Coturnix japonica: one gene and its partner. The protein of the gene in region 1 purifies or fractionates together with the protein of each later gene. This does not show direct contact. Links are inferred from orthologs where the notes say so. Each region holds a gene or a part of one and is shown on either strand. Other genes may lie near its edges.

Region 1 (3,533 bases):
GATGGATCAGATTTTGAGTTTCACGTATGCCAGAGATGTAGGCCTGTGTCTATATAGGTGGATTATCCTGGATTAGCTTCCATCTTCTTCTTTACTGAGATGTACATGGTTTTCTTCCCTGGATGTCTTGCACTGGCACTTCTCAGAGTAAAGTGCTGAATACACAAAAGTCATACATTCCCTAACCAAGTAAATGTATTCAATAAATAGAAAGAGAACATGGAATGGAGTTTTGTAAAACAATTACTTTACTATTTGCTTATGTTTGCTTTTCACTTTCTGGTTTAAAGTCAGCACAATTAACATGAACGAGCTTCTCCTGAACTGATGGATCCTGCTTACCAATAGCAAAATTAAGAGAAATTCTTTTATTATGTGACATTTATCTGGGGCAACACAATTTCAGGTTTGTTTTGTCTCAAATGCAAATGAAAGGATGTGGTCAAGGTTCACTCCAATTCAAAGAAACCGATCTATTGTCAAAGAATTTTAGGTAATAATAGAACCAAAATCTATTCCTAACAGTAGCCTTATAAGAGTTCATAAATAATCACTGTATTAAAATAAAACACAAATCTAATTAAAGAGACGTTAAATTTTTGCTCTTGTATCTTCTACTGAAAGGTATGTCTACAGGCTAACTCCCTCTCTGCTTTTAGTTTATGACTACAGATCATTTCTAGTCAATGTACATTAATTTGAGTTTTAATTGCAGTTACTTGCATTTCAAATGACACAAAGAAAATTGGACACCTAGGTATGCAAACATGTCAGTACCTTTAGTGTGTTATAACTTTCATTCTGATGTTTCAATTTATGTTCCTAACATTCTCTTCAATACTTTTTTCCACCCTTGATGAAATATGCAGCACATTCTAGCTTTAAGAGTACTGTAGATAATTAGAAACTGCAGAAACTGGATGTAGGTTATTACTTCCACTCTTTGTGATCACCTAGTACTTAGCTACACCACCTACTATATTAGTGTTATTTCTTTCGTTTTATTAAACTACGTCAAAGTAACTAACTCCATGTGAAATGCACGATCTGTGGATACTGTTTTAAAGACAATGTCTTGTTTGTTTGTTTTTTAAAAAAAAGATTGAGCTTCTCAGCAACCTTCCTGAAAGTGCAAGGACAGAGCATGGCTTCATCAGGGAGCTTCAGCTTTTAAGGTACTGTATTTCTCAGCCAACATATATGAAATGAGAATGATAAGCTAAAAGCCACTGCAGATTTTAATTATGTATTACATATTCCTAAACATGATGAGATTTTTAAATTATTAAAAAATTATTTTATATTCCAGTTTAACCAATAGTCAATTAAAGGAAGAAAAAGCAGAACTAGTACGCCAGATAGAAGACTATAAGCACCAGATACACATGTACACAAGTGAAGATCCTGCAGCTGGTAATCATTTTCAGTACATAAAATAACAATTTTTGTGTAGTTCAGGCCTGAAACTATTTTTACTCAATATGTGTCCAAAATAATATAATGCAAATATTTCTATGGTTTTATTAGTGGCAGTATACCATAAACTGGAGCAAATTAAGGTTTGTGAATTTACCTAAGATATTTATAAGTTAGTATTAGTAAAAAATTATTTTGAGCAAAAGGCTGGAATCTTTGCAAGATTTCTCATTCCAAGAAGTGAGTATTTCATGCTTTCTAAACCTCAAATACTGCTTGTAAAACTTCAGTCATTCATTGAAACCTTCCAGCTTACTCCTCTTGCCTTGGATTCCAGGCTTCTAGGAAACAAGTGTCTATTTCAGGATACCAGCCCTGTGAATGATTTAAGATTAGCAGCTGTCAGAAAAAGCCACAGCAAAAGCAAAGAGGGCTGTAGAGCAGCACGCTGCCATAACACCAGGAAGAAAACAAACAAACAAACCCACATGCTCTTGAATCATGAATATAATTAATAAGATCCTTAAACTCTCTTTTCCAAATTTTCTGTATTTAATTTAGAGAAACTGCACATGTATTTTTCAGGAATGTGCTGATAGACTGGTCATTTGAGTACTGCATTCAGTAACAAGAATAATACACCATTACCTAATTGGTGGAAGAACCAAAGAATAGCCAGGATGATTAGAAATTTTGGTGGTTGTTGATCAGAACTGAGTTTACACACTGCATCTCTTTACAGTTGAAACAGCTGAAGTATTATTGTAACAAATTTATGTGATTGATTATACTTACCTGTAATTTGCTATCAAGTCAATGATTTTTGCAGGAAATAGTGAAGTTTCAAAGGATAAAAACGATAAGTTACTGACAGAAGTAGCTGACCTTCAGGCACAGCTGAAAGCTTCTGAGTTGGAGAAAGAGCAGCTGAAGGTGAGTTGCAGAGATGATCTTGGGAAAGATAATGATCACAACTATAGTCAGTTAGAAGAACCTACTTAATACCCTAAATGACACAAAAACAAGTCAATTTCTAAGAGTTATGCCTATGAAGCTGATATTGTTAGTGAATTTTCCCAAGTAGATTTGTCTGTTGTAGAACGCATGTTCTCTAACACTCTTGTCTCTGAAGAAAAAAGGAAAAAAAGCTGTTGAAGACAAGTATTTCCTAAGTTTTGATTACAGATGATATCCCTTTGTTCTCTGTAATAGGAAGAAACAAAAAAGTTGAGAAAAGAACTGGAAAACTTCAATCCTTCCTTTTTTGAAGAAATTGAGGATCTGAAATACAACTATAACGAAGAATTAAAAAAAAATATTCTTTTAGAAGAAAGATTAAAGAAGCTTTCTGAAGAGTTTGGCGTGCAAGTGGATAGCCCAGCCAATAGTTCTGCTGATTAAACATTTAGTTTCCTTAGTACTGATAAGGAAAATAAATTCTTGGGCAGTTACAGAATACTGTTTTGTCTGTCATTCCGGGATAAGAAAAAAAAGGTATTGAAGTCATAATGATTTGGTACATTCTGCAGCTTGCTGAATTGATTAAGTCAATGGATTACAGTCAGTATTCACATACACCAGTCAAAATGAAAACCAGTTTTACCTCTCCCATCAAGTTTGCAATATTATTCTGAACAGTAATTGCAGTCATATATGTTCTTAAGGAAAAGTCCAAGTTTTCAACTCTAACCAGAAGTTCAGAAACTCTGAAAGCACTTTATGTATGGTAAATTCCAGATCAACAATACTGTAATTTATTCTGTCTGTCTTGCATTTTAACAGTAGACAGCGTTGTGGTCACCTCCGTTCTTACAACGTTAATTATTTTTACATTAATTGTACAAAATTCAAGAATAGAGAATGGAAAACATGCTTGCAGTACAGCAGCCAAACTAGAAGTATTTTTGTAAATAAATGTACAGTTACTATGTGAATTTTTCCATTTTCTATACTTTATACATATAGATGTATAGTTTTGTAGCGCAAATAAAAGCCCACTCTCAAACCACTATACATTCTTACTTTATTATTTGTGCCATCTTTTTTCAAATACTTAATAATGTTTCATAAATTTAGATGCAGTCTTATAATGTTTACTATGAAGCCAAGTCAAATCT
Region 2 (3,634 bases), about 38 Mb from region 1:
AGTTGAGAAACTTTGATAACAATCCCCCTAAAACATAGATTCATGTGATCAAAAAACAGAATCGTATTTGAAAATCATAAAAGCAAAGTGAGAATCATTCCTCTGACGGTTAACAGAGGAATGACTCAATACCAACACTTAGACTTTGTAATTGCTAACAAATTAAGTCAAAAAGCTCATAATTTACAACTGCTATTTTGATTATGCAGCACAACATGCATGTCCAAATAATAAAAGAACACAGAAAGTTAATTCTAAACCAGCCTGCTCATAGAGGACATGCAGAGAGCATGAGAAGTTACATGCATGTGTAACCATTATATCTTACAGGAATTCTTCCTCTACCATTATCACTGTTTTATATCATTAATGCTTGGTCCTACTGTGCGCAGTTATAAGAAAACCCATCTATACCATTCCAGAACTACCTTGGAACAATCTCTATCCAGACTTGAAAAATGCACAGTACAAACTCAACTTACTTCTGTATTTCATCAGTTAAGCAAAGTATGTGCTCCTGCATCCTGCTCAGTCGAATTTCATATCGTACTTCCTTGGCTCGGGGATGGTAGTTCCTTGTATAAAACCCCCTCCAGCAGGCTTGAAGCTTGGTAGCTGCTTTAGTCATTCTTTGGAGTTCATCTGCACCTCGATCAACAGCAGCTAAAGAATCCAAATTTTCTCCTGCCACCTTCTCAGTGCAGACTGTTGTAACTCTCAATTCAGTGCCAGGCTGACCATGCAGAAGTTGGTCTTCAGAGGAAGCTGAAGAATTGCCAGCATCAGTCTGGTTAGCTTTTACCAGATCAGAAGATGATAACTGCACCCTCTCCTTCATTTGCTCTTGAGTTTCCGCACTTTCTGTCACTTTGTTGGAGTGCTCTTTTGTAAGCCAAGAACTTTCTTCTTGCTTGTTAACTGTTTCTCTTCTATTAGCATCCTTTGCAAATTCAAGTACAGTACTATCATTATCTTCTAGATCCAAACTGATTCCACATAACTTCGGTTCTGAAGTAGGAGACGCTGGAGACAATCCTGAAGCAACTGGCATGAAAGTAGACTCTGAAGATAACAGGCTGCTATTTAGCTTGTCTTCATCAGTCTGTACGTCTTCAAGGTACAGCTCCTTGCGACAATTTCTTTCATGAAGAAAAGTGTTCTTTACTGCGTAGGAATGATCATCATTCACACTTGGTCCAACCCAGGAATTCTTCTGGATGACACGTTCTAGACAGGCAGAAAGACATTTTCAGAAGTCACACAGTGTTTCAATAAAATACTTCAGTTCATAGAAAATAAATCTGTATTTTATTCCCACAGGTAAGATTATAGGCGCAAATTTACACCTTACCACTTTCAAGTACTATCTGTGGTGGATGAACTGGACTGCTGTGCTCAGAAGTAACGGGCAAAGTCCTGTTGGAAGCAGATGTAGCTGGTCCTTCATTTTGGTTTTGACACATCAGCTGCCTCTGGTGGAGCCTGAGGACAAAGTTTCAACAGATTTTATATTTTAATATTTGTTTTTGGTACATGAGGCATCTGAAATAAACTATCAACTACTTTGAAGTAAACAAGAAATCAAACCGTTTCTAAAACAAGATGCGAGCTATAGGTAGGTGCCAGCCTACTCCTAATAACAGGACTGCTCACAATGTAGGGAACTACACAGGACACGCTATGCTTGTATGCCTAAAGAGTTTGAGGAATGGACTCAGGTAACAGCATTGCCACAAAGCCATTCTTTACAATCTGAAGAAAGAGAAAGGTTAATTCAACCTAGCGAAATTAAGAGATCATGAGGTAGATATTAGAAAATCACTCTGCCTTAAAGATCCTGTGTGTATACGTTTTTTCTTTGTGATAGAAATCTGTGATGGTAGAGTTTATATTAATTACAGTCCTCGTACAAATCACTTTCAATGTTCTACAGAGCACAGACTGCCTCTAGAGTGCCCAGCAAACACTCCTGCTGCTCTCTTGTTCCTCATTCCATTCATCCTTTACCTCCATTACTCTTCCCATCTTTGGCTCTTGCTATTGCTTTAAAACTCTTAAAAGGAAATATCTAATACATAATGAGACAAACAATCGTATTCTCAATTACATTCTCTAACAGTGGAGAAGCAAGAAGCTCTCACCTTTGCTTACTCAGTATTTTTTCCAGCTTGGCATCTTCTTCAGTCTGGAGACCGTATGTAGATATAAGAGGACAAACAGTAGCCAAGTACTGGACTAACTGAACATGTTGCCCAGGTCGATACGATCTTCCTTTACCTTGACTGTAGAGCCATTCTGCTTTCAAACTGTCAGGAAGAGAGTTACTATTAATACATATATAGCATACACCTCATAACTTTTCTTTGAGCCCCGCTCCTCTAAGAGCTACCAAAACACTGAACGTCAACAGTGTCCAGATACCTCCACTGTCATACAGATAGCAGTGATACACACAGTGATACAGTAAAGACTGATGAAAAAACATAATGATACAAGCCTTCTTGGCCACCTGGGCACACTGCTGGCTCATATTCAGCCTACTGTCCATCAGCACACCAAGGTACCTTTCCATCAGGTAGTTTTCCCAACTACTCCTCCCCAAGCCTGTAGGGTTGCCTGGGGTTGTTGTGACCAAAATGCAGGACCCAACACTTGGCCATATCGAAACACATCTAGTTTACCTTGGCCCATCGATCCAGTCTATCCAGGTCCTTCTGTAGTGCCTTTCCTCCCTCGGGCAGATCAACACTCCCTCCCAACTTCGTGTCATCTGCGAACTTACTGATGATGCGCTCAATCCTCTCATCAAGATTATTAATAAATATATTGAATAGAAGCGGCCCCAGTTCCAAGTCCTGGGGGACACTGCTCGTGAGTGGCCACCAACTGGATTTAACTCCATTGAGCACAACTCTTTGGTCCCTGCCATCCAGCCAGTGTTTCACCCAGTAGAGCGTACACCCACCCAAACCATGGGCAGCCAGCTGCTCCACGAGGATGTTGTGCGGGACAGTGTCAAAGGCCTTACTGAAGCCCAAGTAGACCACACTGACAGCATTACCCTCATTCATTAAGCAGGTCACCCTGTCATAGAATTAAATCAGGTTTGTCATGTGGGATCTACCATTCACAAACCCATTCTGACTGAGCCTGATCCCCTGCTTGACCTTTAACTGGTCACTTGTTAACTTTAGAAGTATCACATTACCTTTCTTTCTGAGAAACCATATATCCATCAAGAACTTTAAGGTTGAGACACCAGCTGACTATATATGGCCTGTAGTCAAAGCCAGGGACTGAAGGTGTGGCCATCACGCAAGGATTGTTCATTATCGACAGCTGTTCCAGTTGAGGAAGAGAAGCCAGGAAAGAAACCTTGAGAAAATAAGACATATTTATTAACTGAAGAGAACCATTAGCTGCTTACAGAATGGAACAATTTGCCTAATTACAGCAGTACATCTCAAAAAACAACAACATTACAATTGCATTGAAAATCACACTTGCTTGTTAATCTTACCTCATTTAAGTCTCTGATTTCATTTTCTGCCAAAGAAAAAACAGTCAGGTTGTGAGGTAGGCAAACGGGGGCGGTACGAAGTGAAGTTATAATATTTCCATGCAGCAACAAGGT

What was found.
Region 2: the proteins of CEP290 (region 1) and CEP97 purify together in Homo sapiens (co-immunoprecipitation; 4 studies listed by BioGRID and IntAct, with this or other methods). This does not show direct contact. The link is inferred for Coturnix japonica from reciprocal best matches to the Homo sapiens genes CEP290 and CEP97.

Annotation. Positions count from the first base shown.
Region 1 is NC_029516.1:38,920,822-38,924,354, reverse strand, and holds the end of CEP290 (centrosomal protein of 290 kDa), read left to right. Parts: intron 1-1,101; coding exon 1,102-1,175; intron 1,176-1,309; coding exon 1,310-1,413; intron 1,414-2,245; coding exon 2,246-2,349; intron 2,350-2,628; coding exon 2,629-2,817; 3' UTR 2,818-2,872; downstream 2,873-3,533. UniProt on the Homo sapiens protein: Involved in early and late steps in cilia formation. Its association with CCP110 is required for inhibition of primary cilia formation by CCP110.
Region 2 is NC_029516.1:76,478,866-76,482,499, reverse strand, and holds part of CEP97 (centrosomal protein of 97 kDa), read right to left. Parts: coding exon 3,521-3,634; intron 3,376-3,520; coding exon 3,209-3,375; intron 2,307-3,208; coding exon 2,142-2,306; intron 1,483-2,141; coding exon 1,352-1,482; intron 1,228-1,351; coding exon 483-1,227; intron 1-482. UniProt on the Homo sapiens protein: Acts as a key negative regulator of ciliogenesis in collaboration with CCP110 by capping the mother centriole thereby preventing cilia formation. Required for recruitment of CCP110 to the centrosome.